Linked DNA regions of Arabidopsis thaliana. The protein of the gene in region 2 interacts with the protein of the main gene of each other region in a pairwise test. Each region holds a gene or a part of one and is shown on either strand. Other genes may lie near its edges.

Region 1 (4,648 bases), on a different chromosome or scaffold from region 2:
AATAGCTTTAAAACAAAGGAAAGACCATCCTCGGTTCGTTACCTAAAGAAAGCTAAACTACCAACCAAATTTAGAAAGAGACATTTCAAAGAATTCAAGAATATCTAAACATAGATTGAGAGATCATCACACATCTAAACCCTGATGGTTATGGCCTTACTGTCAAAAACCTAGAACAAAGAGTATTAACAATAACGATATGATTCAGAAACCATACTTAGGATGATTACTTTTGCTATGTTTAGATAACTTTTCACTATTTCCTAATTTCAGAACCCAGAACATTGAAAAAAACCCATCATTTCAACTTTTAGCTAACTCTAACAATCAAAAGTGGCTACTTTCCAGCTAATTATGGCTGCCACTTTCTCCCATTAATTCTTAATTGCAATCTAAACCCCTTAAGTTCCACAAAACCCCTGGAAATTCCCCATTACTTTTGTTTCCCGTTCCCAGAAGCCACAATGAAGAAACTGAACGAACATCGATCTAGCTGAAATCGTCTCAGTCTACTAATTATCTAATTCAGCATTCAAAAATCAATTCCAACCACAAGAGATCTCAGTTTAGGAACAGTAAGTCAACGTAGAGCAGGTACGACTAAATCCATGATTCGTCGACGAAATTGAAAGAGACAGATAGTATTAGAGTTACCTGATGAGACTGTACGAGACTTGAATTGACGGAAAACCCCAAACCATGGTGACTGATCGGAATCGGATTTCCAGAAAGAAATCGCTTAGAGAGAGATGAACCAGAGGTAGAAGGAACAGAATCAGAAGACGAGTAGCTGTTATCTACGATATCAAAGGAGAATATTCCGATGACGCAAAGAAGGAGTAAGAGGAGGACGAAGACCAACATTTGGATCCAAATTAGCCATGGGATATTATTGTAGCTATCTAAAACCAAAAACTCTTTCCCAGAATCCACCATTTTTTGTAGAGAGATAAGAGTTTTTCCCGGGAAGAGAGATTTGAGGTAACGATTGAGGAGGAGGAAGAAGAAGAAAGACGACAATCAAACGAAGACGACGAAGGAGTTGGGTGAAGGGGAAAAGATAAAACGACGAAGCTGTGATATTCAGGTCACCGCGAGAAAATAACGGCAAAAATCTTGCTTTTTGTTGATAGTCCACGTGTAACACATTAATTGGTTAAATAGGTGAAAACACTTGATATTTATGTAATTTGTTATAGTGTTTATTAAATATTTTAATTCGATTTTTTATAAATTATTTATATTTTAATTAGTCATTACTGTTTATTCATTAAATTAGCTAATGTATTCTTCGTTTATGATAGAGACAAAAAAAAAAAAAAAAATCCAGATGTATTTAAATTTCTAAATCAACGACAAACGTATAAAATTAGCTATAAATGTGTAAATATAGTAGTTTTTTTTCTTTAGGTAAATTCAGTAGTTAAAATAAAAAAAACCTAAAAATATAGCTATAATATTTTTTCGGAAGCATTAAATTTCCATATTGAATTTACATGCTATGTTGTATATACATGCCCGAAATTTCTTGGATGTTTCACGTGTATCCACCATATATTATAGCTTACAAATAAATAAAGTTAAAGATAAACATAAAAACAACATCTAAACTATAAAAAATATGCATGTATTTATCATTACATAAAAAAATAAATTATGTAGATATGTATCAAAATACAAGATTTCCACATAATTTTGTTATCAATTATATTATCTTTTAACATTCAAATTTAGCCAAAACAGTTATAGAATTTTGTAAATAACCGCGTTTCAATGAAATTTCGTAGAAAGTAGAAAAGAATATAAAAGCTTAATTCAAGAGAATATTTTTTTTTTATTTTTTTTTATTTTTTATTTACGCGTATTAAAAACTTGTATATAAGTTAAATCCTTTCTTATGATCCTCTCCACAAACAAACTTGTACTAGAAAAATCCCTAAATCTCAACAAAACCCTAATTTCAAGGAAGACGAAGAAAGAATGAGTTACAGAGTCGCTAAAGCATCGCAGTATCTTGCGATCACCGGTGGTGGGATCACAGACATCAAGCTTGCAAAGAAGTCTTGGGTGTTTCCATGGCAGTCTTGCACCGTCTTCGACGTTTCTCCGGTGAACTACACGTTCGAGGTTCAAGCTATGAGTTCCGAGAAACTTCCCTTTGTTATTCCTGCTGTTTTCACAATCGGTCCTCGCGTTGATGATCCTCACGCTCTCTTGTTGTATGCCATGCTTATGTCTCAACACGATAAGCACTCGAATCACGTCAATGAGCTTGTTCAGGGTGTTATCGAAGGAGAGACTCGTGTTCTTGTTGCTTCCATGACTATGGAAGAGGTCTTCAAAGGTAACCAAACATACCCTTTTTGATTATCTTCTTTATTTCTGAGTTCTGTTTTAATATAATTGTTTGAACTGTGTTTGAATTGTGGAATTGTAGGAACAAAGGAGTTTAAGAAGGAAGTGTTTGACAAGGTTCAGCTAGAGCTAAACCAGTTTGGTCTTGTGATCTACAACGCCAATGTGAAGCAGCTTGTTGATGTGCCTGGACATGAGTACTTCTCTTACTTGGGCCAGAAGACTCAGATGGAAGCAGCAAACCAAGCCAAGATCGATGTAGCAGAGGCAAAGATGAAGGGAGAGGTTGGTGCCAAAGAAAGGACTGGACTCACAATCCAGAATGCAGCCAAGATTGACGCTGAGTCAAAGATCATCTCTACTCAAAGGCTAGGAGAAGGGACAAAAGAGGAGATCAAGGTGAAGACTGAAGTCAAAGTGTTTCAGAATGAGAAAGAGGCTCTTGTTGCTAAGGCTGATGCAGCACTTGCGATTCAAAAGGCTGCTTTGTCCCAAAACTCTCGTGTGGCTGAGGTTGAAGCAGCCAAGGCTGTTGCTTTGAGGGAAGCTGAGCTTCAGACTAAAGTAGAGAAGATGAATGCATTGACTCGGACAGAGAAGCTTAAAGCTGAGTTCCTCAGTAAAGCCAGTGTTGAGTATGAAACTAAGGTGCAAGAAGCGAACTGGGAGTTGTACAATAAGCAAAAGCAAGCAGAAGCTGTTCTTTACGAGAAGCAGAAGCAAGCGGAAGCGACGAAAGCTGCAGCTGATGCTGCCTTCTATTCAAAACAGAAAGATGCAGAGGGACTTGTCGCAATGGCCGATGCTCAGGGGACTTACCTCAAGACCCTCTTAGGCGCAGTTAACAATGATTACTCAGCCATGAGAGACTTCTTGATGATCAACAATGGCATTTATCAGGATATTGCCAAGACCAATGCTGTTGCGATCAGGGACCTGCAGCCTAAGATCAGCGTGTGGAACCATGGTGGTGCTGAGCAGGGGATGAACGGTGGTGGTAAAGCTACGATGAACGATATTGCTGGACTCTACAAGATGTTACCACCGGTTCTTGATACGGTTTATGAGCAGACAGGGATGCAGCCACCAGCTTGGATTGGTACATTGCGTGGTGCTGAGCCCAAACAATCACTTCATGCTCAACAACACAGAGGTTGAGATCTCAAATGTTGCTTCTTTAATTATACTTTTAGCTGTTGGGGTTTGTTTTCTTTTTCTTATGTTATAGAACTTGGAAGTTAGAGTTTGAAGTTAAAACAATAGTATCTGACAAATGCGACTTCGACTAGTGATTTCGATAAGGATGTGTTTTTCCTTTTTCAAATGTCAGATTTATTATTGCGTGTTGAAGATACCTTTCTTCTCTCTTGATACACTAATATAAATAACATGTTTAGTGGTGGTCTACTAAAATAAACAGAAGGGGATTATCAACACATGATTGCTTCAATAGTTGAATGCAATTGTGGAGATGGATGTACCTTCCAGATGGATAATCAAGGAATGATATTATTATATCTACATAAATTCTGTCACCATCGGATAAATAGTTCAACAACACCTACCACTTTATTATGATGCTACTTTTTGTAATGCATCAGGCAGGGCTCAAGGGACCATGCTCCAATTATTTGTTCCTCATATCGGAATATCTTTAAGAGTGGTCCTCACCACCTCTCTGTGAACTGCAAATTCCTCTTTTTAGCAGAAAAGTATCATATACGGAAGCTGCATGTTTATTGAATAATATATTGACCAGTCGATGAAACTGCGAGGATGGTAGATGATACCACTGCATTTAAATTATATATTTATAAAAATATATTGACTATAGTAAAACATAAAATAAATAGCTGAAACAGTTTATAATTATTTAATAGTCCATTGAACCAATTTATTATTCTGGATCTCATGGGTTTTTAACTTTTAAGGGATATAGGATCCGATCTCGACGGCCTAAAAAAGGCCCAAAATACGGCCTTGAAAATGGCGCCCATTCACGAGAGTTTCCTTACACCGCACGTGATGATCACGTGATCTCACTCTCACACTCTCTCAAGAGCAACAAAATATCTCGACTGTTTTTGATTTTGTCATCTGGTGGATTAGAGTGGAGTGGAGCTTTGAATTGGATGATCATTATCCATGTCGATTCTACTTAGGCCGTCGTCCTCTCCTTCACTCTGTTCTTCTCTCAAGCTTTTCCGATTATCCTCTCCGGATTCTTTAATCGACGCAGCTGTCCTCAGGAACAGGACAAAGCCGTCGCAGTCGTTTCGAATGGAGGTCGTTT
Region 2 (5,036 bases):
GCTGTCACTTCCATCTTCTTTGCTTCCCATTGTCCACTTGACAAATCCACCAAATAAACTCCGGCAAGCACTTCCTGAACCTTGCCTACATGAGCAAACAGAAATCAAACCATGAATATCAGTACCATTTAATTCCTAGAGGAGTGTCAGATTTCACTTCACTATCACAACTCATGCATTAGTAGATGACTATACATAAATCAAAGCATTGATATATAGTGCAAGGAAGTCCACTACATAGGTACCTGGCTATTGCAGAAAGATGGCTTGGATCTTCATCTACATTCATCAACTTTGCAAGAGAAAAAACTGTAGGCAAAAAAAACAGTTTGACATAAACTACAAGCCATTCTCAAGCTCATAATCATCAACAGAGAGAAAAAGCAGAATACCTAGACAAGCAAATCCAGCAGCTGAAGATGCTAAGCCAGCAGCAGTAGGGAAGTTATTATGAGAAGCAATATGTAGATTCAATTTCTCCCAATCTTTCTTCCTTATCTTGATCCCCTTTTCCATGTCTTCAACATCACCAGCACGACCTCGTATTTCCCTCAAACAATTTTGGTACCTACTTCCAGAAAGAGATATTTCCTACACTAACATGAAACAACAACAACAACAAAAATCTTTGTAATTCGATAATTGGAATCTCAGCAAAAGGAGAGAGATCGTGATGGGAAATGAAGCGAGTGTACCTTGCCATTGAGCCACATTCGATCCCGATCAAAAGCAGGACTAACGGCAACAGTGGTGACTGTGCAGAGATGATCAGGATCAAGAGTTACGCTAATGCTATCGTTAACGGGGAGAATCCGAACCTCATCTCTCTTTCCCCAATACTTAATCACCGCAATGTTCGTCGGAGTTTGCGCCGTCACCATGAACACCCATTTCTCCGTCGCCATGTGAATCTCCAAAAGAGATCTGCAGCTTCAAAGTAGTTGAAAATGAAAGCGACGGAGAATACGACAGAATAATGATGACTCATTGCCTTTACAATTTTAAAAATATTATTTTATTCAAAAATTGAGAACTTCACTAACTGTAAAACTCTAATCAAATGGTTATTGCCATTTTGATGAAAACACCAAAACTTAACCTAAAACGTTTTAGGAAAAAAATTGAGTTAGGTAAGAAATAACCAAAACACGAAAATCATTGTGATGCATGAACTTTATGCTTAAAGGCCTTTGAGTTGTCTTGTCTTTGATATTGGGATATTTGTTAGCTGGGAAAGGATATGTAATATATAAACCACTGATTCATATAAGTAACACCATTGTTCATGAGTAAAAACAGACTCTTATTATAGCTCATACAGCATTGGTTAAGATAATTGAAGAAAGCATCTCATTCCAAATATCCGGGACACCGGGCAAGCACCAATGACTGCAATCTGATGAAGGTCCAGCGATACGATGGTGCTTCTCTTCCTCGTGCATTGCTCTCTTGAACACCGAAGGATGACCGTCTCTTCTATACGCAGACATTGTTGTGATATCGTATAAATACACTCGGTATTTCATTGTCCTTAGCACTTTGTTCAACACTCTTGACTGTTGAGGCACGTGGGGTTTGGTGGAAGAAGATAAAGAAGGCAAGGGATGTTTCTGGTTGTAGCACATCTGACCACTCTCTCTGCCAAGAATTTATGTACATGAATTAATGGTGTCCATTTTGTATATATGTTGAGATTAAGAGGAGAATATAAGAAAAAACCTCGGTGAGACAGTGCGGAAAATGACTTTTGTTTTGGATGGATCAAGATTTATCTCAACCCATTTAGCCCATGTGGTTAGTCCTCTCTCATAAGCAACCATTGGGTCCATAGCTTTGAAGATCTTATTCCCATCCATGTAATAATCCCACCTAAAACATCAATAGCTTGCGTTACTGTCACAAATCCCAAATCTGATGTAAAATGAGACACAATAACAAATACAATGAACATAGACGTCTATGAACCGTTATACACTAATCATTTGCTTTTGAAGGAAAGATGTAAGTGTTTATTCAGATGACTTACGAACTCCATCTCTGAGAGTGAGTCCACCAGTGAGCGGAATCGAATACAAGAACATCTACACCACGCCAATATCTAGCATTGTCTTCGATTGAGTCCAAATGTAACACCCTTTTACGGTCAACTCCTCTCTTGAGTTCCACAAGCAGAGGAGCCCAACAAAACTCAATTGATGTCTCAAAATCCTGTATAGTAACCAAATTTAATAGTTGCATCTACTAACCAATGATGTATATGTGATTCAAAAGGAGATTTGTGATTATTAATTACCAGAGAATGGAAAGACATCGTAGGACCATTGTAAGTGAGCTTCTTACGATGAGTGGGAAGAACAGACTGTACTAAGCAGACAAGAGATTCCCACTGGTTTCTCATCATTGAATCTCCAACCAGCATTATTCTTTTTCCTCTCATTTTCCCAAGAAATTTCAATGCGTCAAACCTAAACACCATCATGGAAAGAGCCACTATTTTGGTTAATATTAATGTCTCTTTCCCATTTTTCATTAGTCAATTTATTCATCTTGCAATTAACCATGCAAAGCCAATATAAACCAACTTTTTTACTTGATGAGACAGAAATTTTAAAAAGAAGTAATGTAAGAAGTAAGAGGAGTGTGGAGTGTGCCTTGGTAGTGAACAAGCCTTAGGGATCCATCTCCATTTCTGGTAATAAGAGTCGGGTCTTCCATTTCTTTGGCAACTTAGTGCAGAACTCAGATATGGACAGCTTGAATCATAGAGCGGATACGTTTCATCGAACGTCCATTTCCCCACCGAGTAATCACACCTCTCCTCTCTTCTTTCACGCCTCGTCTGCAAGGCGTTGAGTGGATCATCGTCCCCTACTAGCCATAACTCATCAAACTGAGACAAAACTACTTTGCCAAGGATGAGACACAAAGATAAGAACAAGACTCGAGTCTCTGAGGTAGCCATTTGACCAGGAAACTGAGCAGTGTGGGCTTGGAGAAAGAAATAATATAAAGAAGATGGGCAACAAAAAGTGGATAAAGTGAAAAAGGGCGTTAATTACGGAAAGTGGTGGTAATTAGTAATTAGACTTATGCTTGAAATCATGTCCCGTGACTTGCGTCTCCTCTTCTCTCCATCATATCATTTTTTTATAAAAACAGATTACAGTATCCAAGGCGGGATTTGTGAGTTTGGTGGAGCGTTTTGTATATGGTTTAAAAAATCGAAATAGTTTCTCAACAAAAACAAACAGAAATAGTAGAAAACAATCCATATAAACCAGAAAAAAGAATTGCAAATCAAACACAATGGTAGGTTTTGTAAGACTAAAGAAATGTAGGTTTTGTTGTAGAGACCCAAAACTCTCCCTGCCCTCAAAAGGTCATGAACAGACCAAATTCAGGACCCAACCTTCCTTATTAATAGTTTTAAGTTAACCCAAATATGTAAAAAAGTATTAATGAAACGAAACCAAGACATGGCAACACCTTCTTCAGCTTTTAGTATCCTTCATGCTTTATCAAACTCACACCATCCCCAAACAAACATAACACAAAACAAACACTATGCTCTTTGGTTAGCTTCTGTCCCAAACAGATGTCATCTTTAGTATGTCAGTCGAGATTAAGATAATCCTTTAGAAAATCCATTTTTCTTGATCATCTGAAGAAGATTCATCTAACCATGATTGGTGGATGTGCATCCACGTCAGCCTTTGCTTTTCCTCCTTTCAATTTTAACCCATTTTCAGTTATTTTTTTCCAATATTATTTAACCAATCTAATCGTTTGAAATCTTAAAAGGATCATAAATCAAGGTTTACCTTATAACTCAGTAAGACTTTTGTTGAACAAGACCGTACTTTTCCCTCTGTAAACACGAGCTAGACATTAGAACATGGAAGCAAACTTCTACAGTATACCCTTATGATGAGAAATCAAACAAATCAGTTGATCGTATTTTCTGCTAAATCATTTCCTAGCTCGATAAGTCACAAGTATAAGCCATGTAATTGAAGAACAAGATTTCTTACCAGATAACTCATGCTTTACAAATTTTGCAAGCCATGTATCTGAACTGATATGAGAAGACGTAACATTATCCAACCAAATGCGAAACTTCTTTTCCTTCCCATCACCGTATAAATTTTCCATCTCATCTATCCATTCATGTATCGGTTTCTCCACTCCAGACGGATGAACAAAAATACCAAGTGGACTCTGAAACATTGCAAAAGCATAACAATTACGTCAACTAATAAGTCTACACAACACAAGCAATCAAGAACATCTTCAAAATTATCAATTTGAGCACTTGAATTTCCATTACGTTAGATGCTAGAGAGCTTTTTTTTGTCAAATAAACACACTTACAGAGAGCGATTTCAAATTCTGCAAGTACTTGTCAGACTTTTCCACCTCTCCACAACGCCATCTCTCATAAAACAAATAAAACTGAACAACCTCATGAGCAGGATTCAAACTTTCCCCATGGAAATTTTCAGTGTCCATAACATCTCTAGGAGAGACATTTGGTCCCAAATTAAACCTCTGAATAGCTTCTATCATACCAGCTCCACACCTCTCAGACGCATGAAATATTTTTGGGTTGTCCTTTGCATTTTCTTCATACCATTGCAATAATTCTTCATGCGAATTGCTAACCTTAAACAGTAAAAATATAAGCACAATCACTCACGCGTAGTCAAGTATGATCGAACCTAAAAAAAAGTAGTTGGGAACTAACCATTACGCCATATACGTCAGAAATGTTGAAAAGCTCAGCATCATTTCCAGAGTCACCACAAACAAGTGTGTTAGAAGGCTGCTTGCCTTCAATATCCAACTTGTCAAGTAGATATGTCAAAGCACCTTGTTTGCCAGCTCCTCTTGGTAATACATCAAAAGCATATCCATTACTATAAACCAGCTTCACATCCACCTATAATGAATTTTACTGTCATCAGCACCAAAAGTAACAATCTATGATAAGAATGTAGCCATCAAGCTCACATAAAGAGTACACACAAAAATCTCAC
Region 3 (5,494 bases), on a different chromosome or scaffold from region 2:
AAACACGGAAGCCCTAATTTCGGAAGGAAAGGGGAAGAACAGCGTAAGGTAGCTAAAGTATGGTTTTCAAGTGTTTATAAATGGGCTTCAGACGCTGACAGAAAAAAACAAAAATGGGCTTCAGACAGAACCGACTAAATCCAACGGTAATAATTTGGTGTTGTGTCCTAAACCAACGGTAAATATCTTTAAAAAGAGATAAGAATCGATGTTGCCATATTCACCATTTTGCAATCTGTTGGGCCTTATATTAATAAGGCCCATTTAATTTGTGTAAATTGTAAAATAAGAATGGTGGTTTACAAATTGCAAGTTTTGTATGTCTCGGTATTCTTCTATGTTGCACACTCTGATCACATTTGCTTAAAGACTAATAGTAATGAGTTATCCAGACTAAACTATATATCTAGTTATGCAAATTCATTATAACAAATTGGATCCTCTAATCTTTAAAAACTTACAACATCTAAAAGTGATCAGATTTGTTATGACATCTATCTATTTATGCATAGTTTATGACATCTATCTTCTACCTTCTAGGATAAATTTTACCGTTTACCAATTCATGTTATAAACTATTCTTTGATGAACAAATCAAAGTCCGCCTATAATCCTATTTTGTTATTAAAGAAATACTAATAGCAATTAGCTTAGATTTTTATTTTCTGTTTTTTTTTTAACATTTAGCATTTTTTTTTCCTAAAGCACTTTCATTTTTTACAGAATAAAAAGAATGAAGATATATAAATATCACCGGTATTTTTCATTTCATAAATTATGACTTTATTATTCTTTAATTAATCGATTAAATATAGCAAGGACATACAATTATATAATTGAAAGAAAAAGGAAACAAAATTACAACAAACCTTTTTTCAAAAAAAAAAAAAGAACAACTGTTTAATCACTTCCGTTTGTTCTTGCTACCAATCAAGAGAGTGAAATAAAACAAAACCCTAAAGAAAAAACCCCAAGCAACAGTAATCCACAAACAATTCCATTTACTAATATCCGTAATCCCTTGCTGTTTCAAAATATCAATCCCCGTCGTCACACAAGTCTCCGCCGTCACATTCGTCCCCAATACACCGCTCATACTCTTCAACAGATTCACTTTCACATCGTTCGGAAACTCCCCCAACGGCGAATTGTCGAATAACTGAACTCCTCTGGCGAAACATCTCGTCGGATTTTGAAATTCGTTCTGCAACACTCCTTCGTAAGGGTATTTCACCAAGGAGATGTAATGGAACCAGAGCCAGTAAACAGGAATTCGATCTCGAGAGATGAAGAATCCGGAGAAGAGGAGGAAGTAAGCGAGGATCGCTACTACGACTGTGAATCCGAGCATTACGTTTGGTATAACGCCGGAGAGGAACGTTACGAAGGAGCTTCCTGCCCAAAATGAGGCTAGGATTGTGAAGTAGAAGAAGAAGAAACCATTGGCGCCTCCGTCGAGACCAACGGCCCAGAATGTTGTGGCGGCGAAGCTTGCGGAGAGGACGATTAAGGCCGGGATTGAGATTATGGATTGAGAGAGGACGTAGGAGGATCTCCGGTAAGCGTTGTAAGCTGTTTCTCTCATGAATATGTAACGTTCTTGTAGAAAGACTGGGATTGCTTCTGCACATGTGTAGAATGTTGTTGACATTGCGAATGCGAAGAATCCTAAACGTTCTTGTGCTCCTTTTGGGGAATTGTCTAGGTTAGTGAACATTGTAGCTAGGATGATTCCGGTGACCATTACAGCTCCTAGTCTCATTCCGAGGAGTTCTGGTTGTCTTCTTGAGTTTAATATAGCACGTTTGCCTATTACTATCATTTCAATCCAGAAAGGATTGGCGAATGTTTGGAATGATGGTGTTAGGTTTGATGAGTTGTTGTTCGTTGCTCCAGAGACGAGTTTCCCTCTTGAGATACTCGCGGTTATCGCTTCTTTGAGAGAAGATACGTTGGTGTTTCTCTTGTTATTGTTGTTGTAGCTTGGTGCTTGCTTTGCTCGCCATTGCTTGTGGAACTCGACAAGTGGCTTGGTTCCTTCTGTAGAATATTCCAGCTCTCGGATGAGATCGAGAGCGAACTCTGTTTTGTTCTCGTTTTCAGGAATTGGGTGCTTGAATTCTGAGAAGAACTGAGGGAGATGTGTTGGTGAGCCGCTGTAGACTGTGTTTCCCTTAGAAAGGAAGATTAACTGATCTAGAAGACCCATGATTCTGTAACTAGGCTGATGGATTGACATGATAACTATGCTGCCACTTTGTGCGATTCTCTGAAGGACTTTGATAACCATGTAGGCGCTTGTAGAGTCGAGCCCTGAGGTTGGCTCATCTAGAAAGAGGATGATTGGGTCATGGATTATGTCGTTTCCAATTGATACCCGTCTCCTTTCTCCTCCAGACACTCCTCTGTGGCCTTCATCACCAATCACGGTTTTTGCAGCGCTCCTTAGGCCTAATTGGTCAATCAGAGCTTGAACCCTTGCTTTCTTCTTCTTCTTGGAGAGTGAACGAGGGAGCCTGAACTCTGCAGAGAACATTAGAGTTTCCTCCACGGTAAGCATCGGGAAGAGAAGGTCGTCTTGCATCACGTAAGCCGATATGACTTTCTGCATGCTTGATTCAAGAACTTCTCCGTTTAAGGTAATGGATCCCCTGAGGCTATCTTTTGCGATCCGGTTGGCTAATGCATCGATCAGTGTTGATTTACCGGACCCACTTGCTCCAAGAACCGCCATCATCTCCCCTTCGCGGGCTTCACCTGAAATACCATTCAATAGTATCTTAGTGTTCACCGAGGAATCATTTCCTGACCTTCTGCAGCAAGCGAGGGGATTAAACTTCTTCTGGATCTTCACGCTGTAGGTCAAGTCAGTGAATGAAAGAACAAACGGGGAAGAAGATATAGAAGAAGCAGGAGCAGAGGCCCATGAATTGAAAGAGGATGCAGCAGAATTGATAGGTGAGGCAATTCCCAGAGCCCGGCTACTTGCACTTTCATCATTCCTTGCATCCTCCACGTTCATAAGATGCTCGGCGAATGTGACAGAGACTCTAGTCGTGTCGCTTGGACGTCCTTGAGGCTCCACGGACATCGGGTTTACATAATACATAGGAAGATCATTGTTGCCATCAACCCGTTTGGCCGGAGATGATTTTCCGAGCAAGCCAGACATTTTCTATGTATTTTTGTCTTAATCTTCTCAGGTTATGTGGGTTATATAGCTCATACCCACAAAGAAGACACGAATAGGATATAGGAGGAATGAGAGAAGAGACTACTATAAAGTAAAGAGATATTTTTTTATTATAAGAATGAAAGAGATACGAAATGGTCAATATAGTAGGTAATCTCTAAGTATCTAACGATAGCTTCTGGGTTTTGTATGTTTTGATGTAATGTACAAACCTAAAAGTAAATGGGTAGGTGAGAGGAAGTTGTACAAAAACCCTTCTCGATTTTTCTTCCTCATTATGTTTATATCTATTTCTTGGGGCTTAAGGTAGTTTGAAAATTCGCTATTTTCTAGAGTTTTAAGTAACTATTTGGGTTTAGTTACACGGGTCTTAAGGGATTGAAATCATTATAGGCGTAATTAGTGTTGCGAATAACGTACGTGCAAAATTAGATTTGACTGTTACTGAGCAGCTAGCTGTCCAAATCGTGCCAAAGCGGCAAACTCGTACCTATCTTATTAAAACTAACGTTACAATATTGTCTTATTTTATTTTATTAGTGTAAAACTGTCGTTATCTTTTTTTGTTGACAAATGAAAACATTTCTTTTCGGAGGAATGAGGATGGTTGATATTTTTTATTGAGAGATACCACAAAATAACATGTTTTGGATACTTAAGTATCTAGCAAGATTGTTTGACCAAAAAAAAAAAAGTATCTAGCAAGATTTTTACAAAAAAAAAGTATATCTAGCAAGAGAAAAAGTCACATTATTCGGATGTAATTCAGTACTTGTCCTCCATAATCAATCGAACAAAAACAAATTGTTCAGAATCAGTCACATACTTGAGGTGGCAAAATATTTAATTAGCAAACGAGTAAGAAGTGGCAAAGTATTATAAAAGGAAAATATTTGAATTAAGCAACAAAAATACAAGTTAAATTTTGATTAAACCAAATATATATCTCTCAAGTATATTACTCACTCATTACTAACTGACTATATCTGAAAAGTTCATAAAATTTTACGTATGCCATTTCGATTTCGATTGAAAACATGAGAGCACAACTTAAATTACGAGAGATTATCAAGAAATAAGTAAGCTTATATGTGGAACATTATCACATAGGTATCCTGAGCAACATGGGCATATAGTAATCTAAATAGTAATTAGAAAGTCACTGGAACATAAATGTGGACACGACTTCAATAGTATGAGTGGGTTACACGAAAACCCAAAATTCTCATTAACGTGAAAAAATAGGCATATAATACCCAAAAGAAATGCATTATATAAGACTAACGTGGAGAAGTAGGCATATAAAACGTTTGGTATGGCTGTTATATCTGTTTTCCAGAACTTTATACTATACGCTTCAATATATAAGACCTAGATGATTCTATTTACCCATTCTTACAAGAGATCACATGATCCACATAAATCTGTATACGTAATACTATTTGTTTGTTTTATGACGCCTGTCCCTTTCAATTTTGTTTAATAGTTAAAATAAATGTTGAACAAATTCTTATATCTATATAAACAAATGTTATCAAAGAGAACCAGTTCTGGCAGCTAATTTGGTCGAACATGATTGAGGGCCTGTTCCTGTTTGCTAGAAAATATAATATAAACTTTCGAATATAACTAACGAAAAATATCCAAGAATATCTGTTTTTCGATGATCTCTTCATTGTCCCTTATTATCGAAATTAGTCGTAGTTAATCTTTGTTTGTAGTCATCAGTGATATAGATTTGATCAAATCATGATCGTTTTGAAATCGTTAGCAATAGTGACAAGTTATAGTGATAACAATATATTGCATCGATTGAATTATGCTATAGCAACTGCAAACCAGTTAACAAAGTATTTTGATGGTCGTTGTTGCTAGCGACCGCAAACAAACAAACAAAAACTATCATATAATTTTGCATATTACCTTTTGAGCATGCGAATATTACCTTTCAAAATCTAAAAACCTTTATGTATTGCTAGATTAGGATGTATATAAGTCAATGCCCAGAAGCTGAAATCACAATTACCGGAAAAAGCAAAACATGTAGCAAACACTTTATAACTTATTCACATAGAGCGCTTGCAAGAGACCATTCTAAGCTAAGTGTTTGTGCTTGAGTCTTAGAAAACTGAATTTCATATCGTCATTGTCACGTACAAGGAACTTACAAGCTATAAGCAAACATTTTTAATTTCTTTCTATGTTATTATATCTTCAATCTTTTAAATGTCTTCTCTCGAAATTTTAGTTTTCAAGTGGTACAACAATACTCTATCATCTAACTTTCCAGTTGCTACCAGT

The links.
Region 1: the proteins of TBL36 (region 2) and AT5G64870 interact in a protein complementation assay, tested with the Arabidopsis thaliana proteins (one large-scale study listed by BioGRID).
Region 3: the proteins of TBL36 (region 2) and ABCG2 interact in a protein complementation assay, tested with the Arabidopsis thaliana proteins (one large-scale study listed by BioGRID).

Annotation. Positions count from the first base shown.
Region 1 is NC_003076.8:25,928,641-25,933,288, reverse strand, and holds AT5G64870 (SPFH/Band 7/PHB domain-containing membrane-associated protein family), read left to right. Parts: upstream 1-1,904; 5' UTR 1,905-1,980; coding exon 1,981-2,344; intron 2,345-2,437; coding exon 2,438-3,513; 3' UTR 3,514-3,857; downstream 3,858-4,648. Other genes in the region: AT5G64880 (uncharacterized protein), read right to left, coding at 655-936; DPE1 (disproportionating enzyme), read left to right, coding at 4,501-4,648. UniProt on the Arabidopsis thaliana protein: May act as a scaffolding protein within caveolar membranes, functionally participating in formation of caveolae or caveolae-like vesicles.
Region 2 is NC_003074.8:20,083,784-20,088,819, forward strand, and holds TBL36 (TRICHOME BIREFRINGENCE-LIKE 36), read right to left. Parts: upstream 3,185-5,036; 5' UTR 2,963-3,184; coding exon 2,652-2,962; intron 2,466-2,651; coding exon 2,294-2,465; intron 2,209-2,293; coding exon 2,027-2,208; intron 1,870-2,026; coding exon 1,720-1,869; intron 1,639-1,719; coding exon 1,314-1,638; 3' UTR 1,188-1,313; downstream 1-1,187. Other genes in the region: AT3G54250 (GHMP kinase family protein), read right to left, coding at 1-85, 246-309, 393-591, 696-905; AT3G54270 (sucrose-6F-phosphate phosphohydrolase family protein), read right to left, coding at 3,636-3,725, 3,822-3,868, 4,032-4,218, 4,372-4,662, 4,745-4,939. UniProt on the Arabidopsis thaliana protein: May act as a bridging protein that binds pectin and other cell wall polysaccharides. Probably involved in maintaining esterification of pectins. May be involved in the specific O-acetylation of cell wall polymers.
Region 3 is NC_003071.7:15,672,651-15,678,144, forward strand, and holds ABCG2 (ABC-2 type transporter family protein), read right to left. Parts: upstream 3,271-5,494; 5' UTR 3,173-3,270; coding exon 905-3,172; 3' UTR 792-904; downstream 1-791.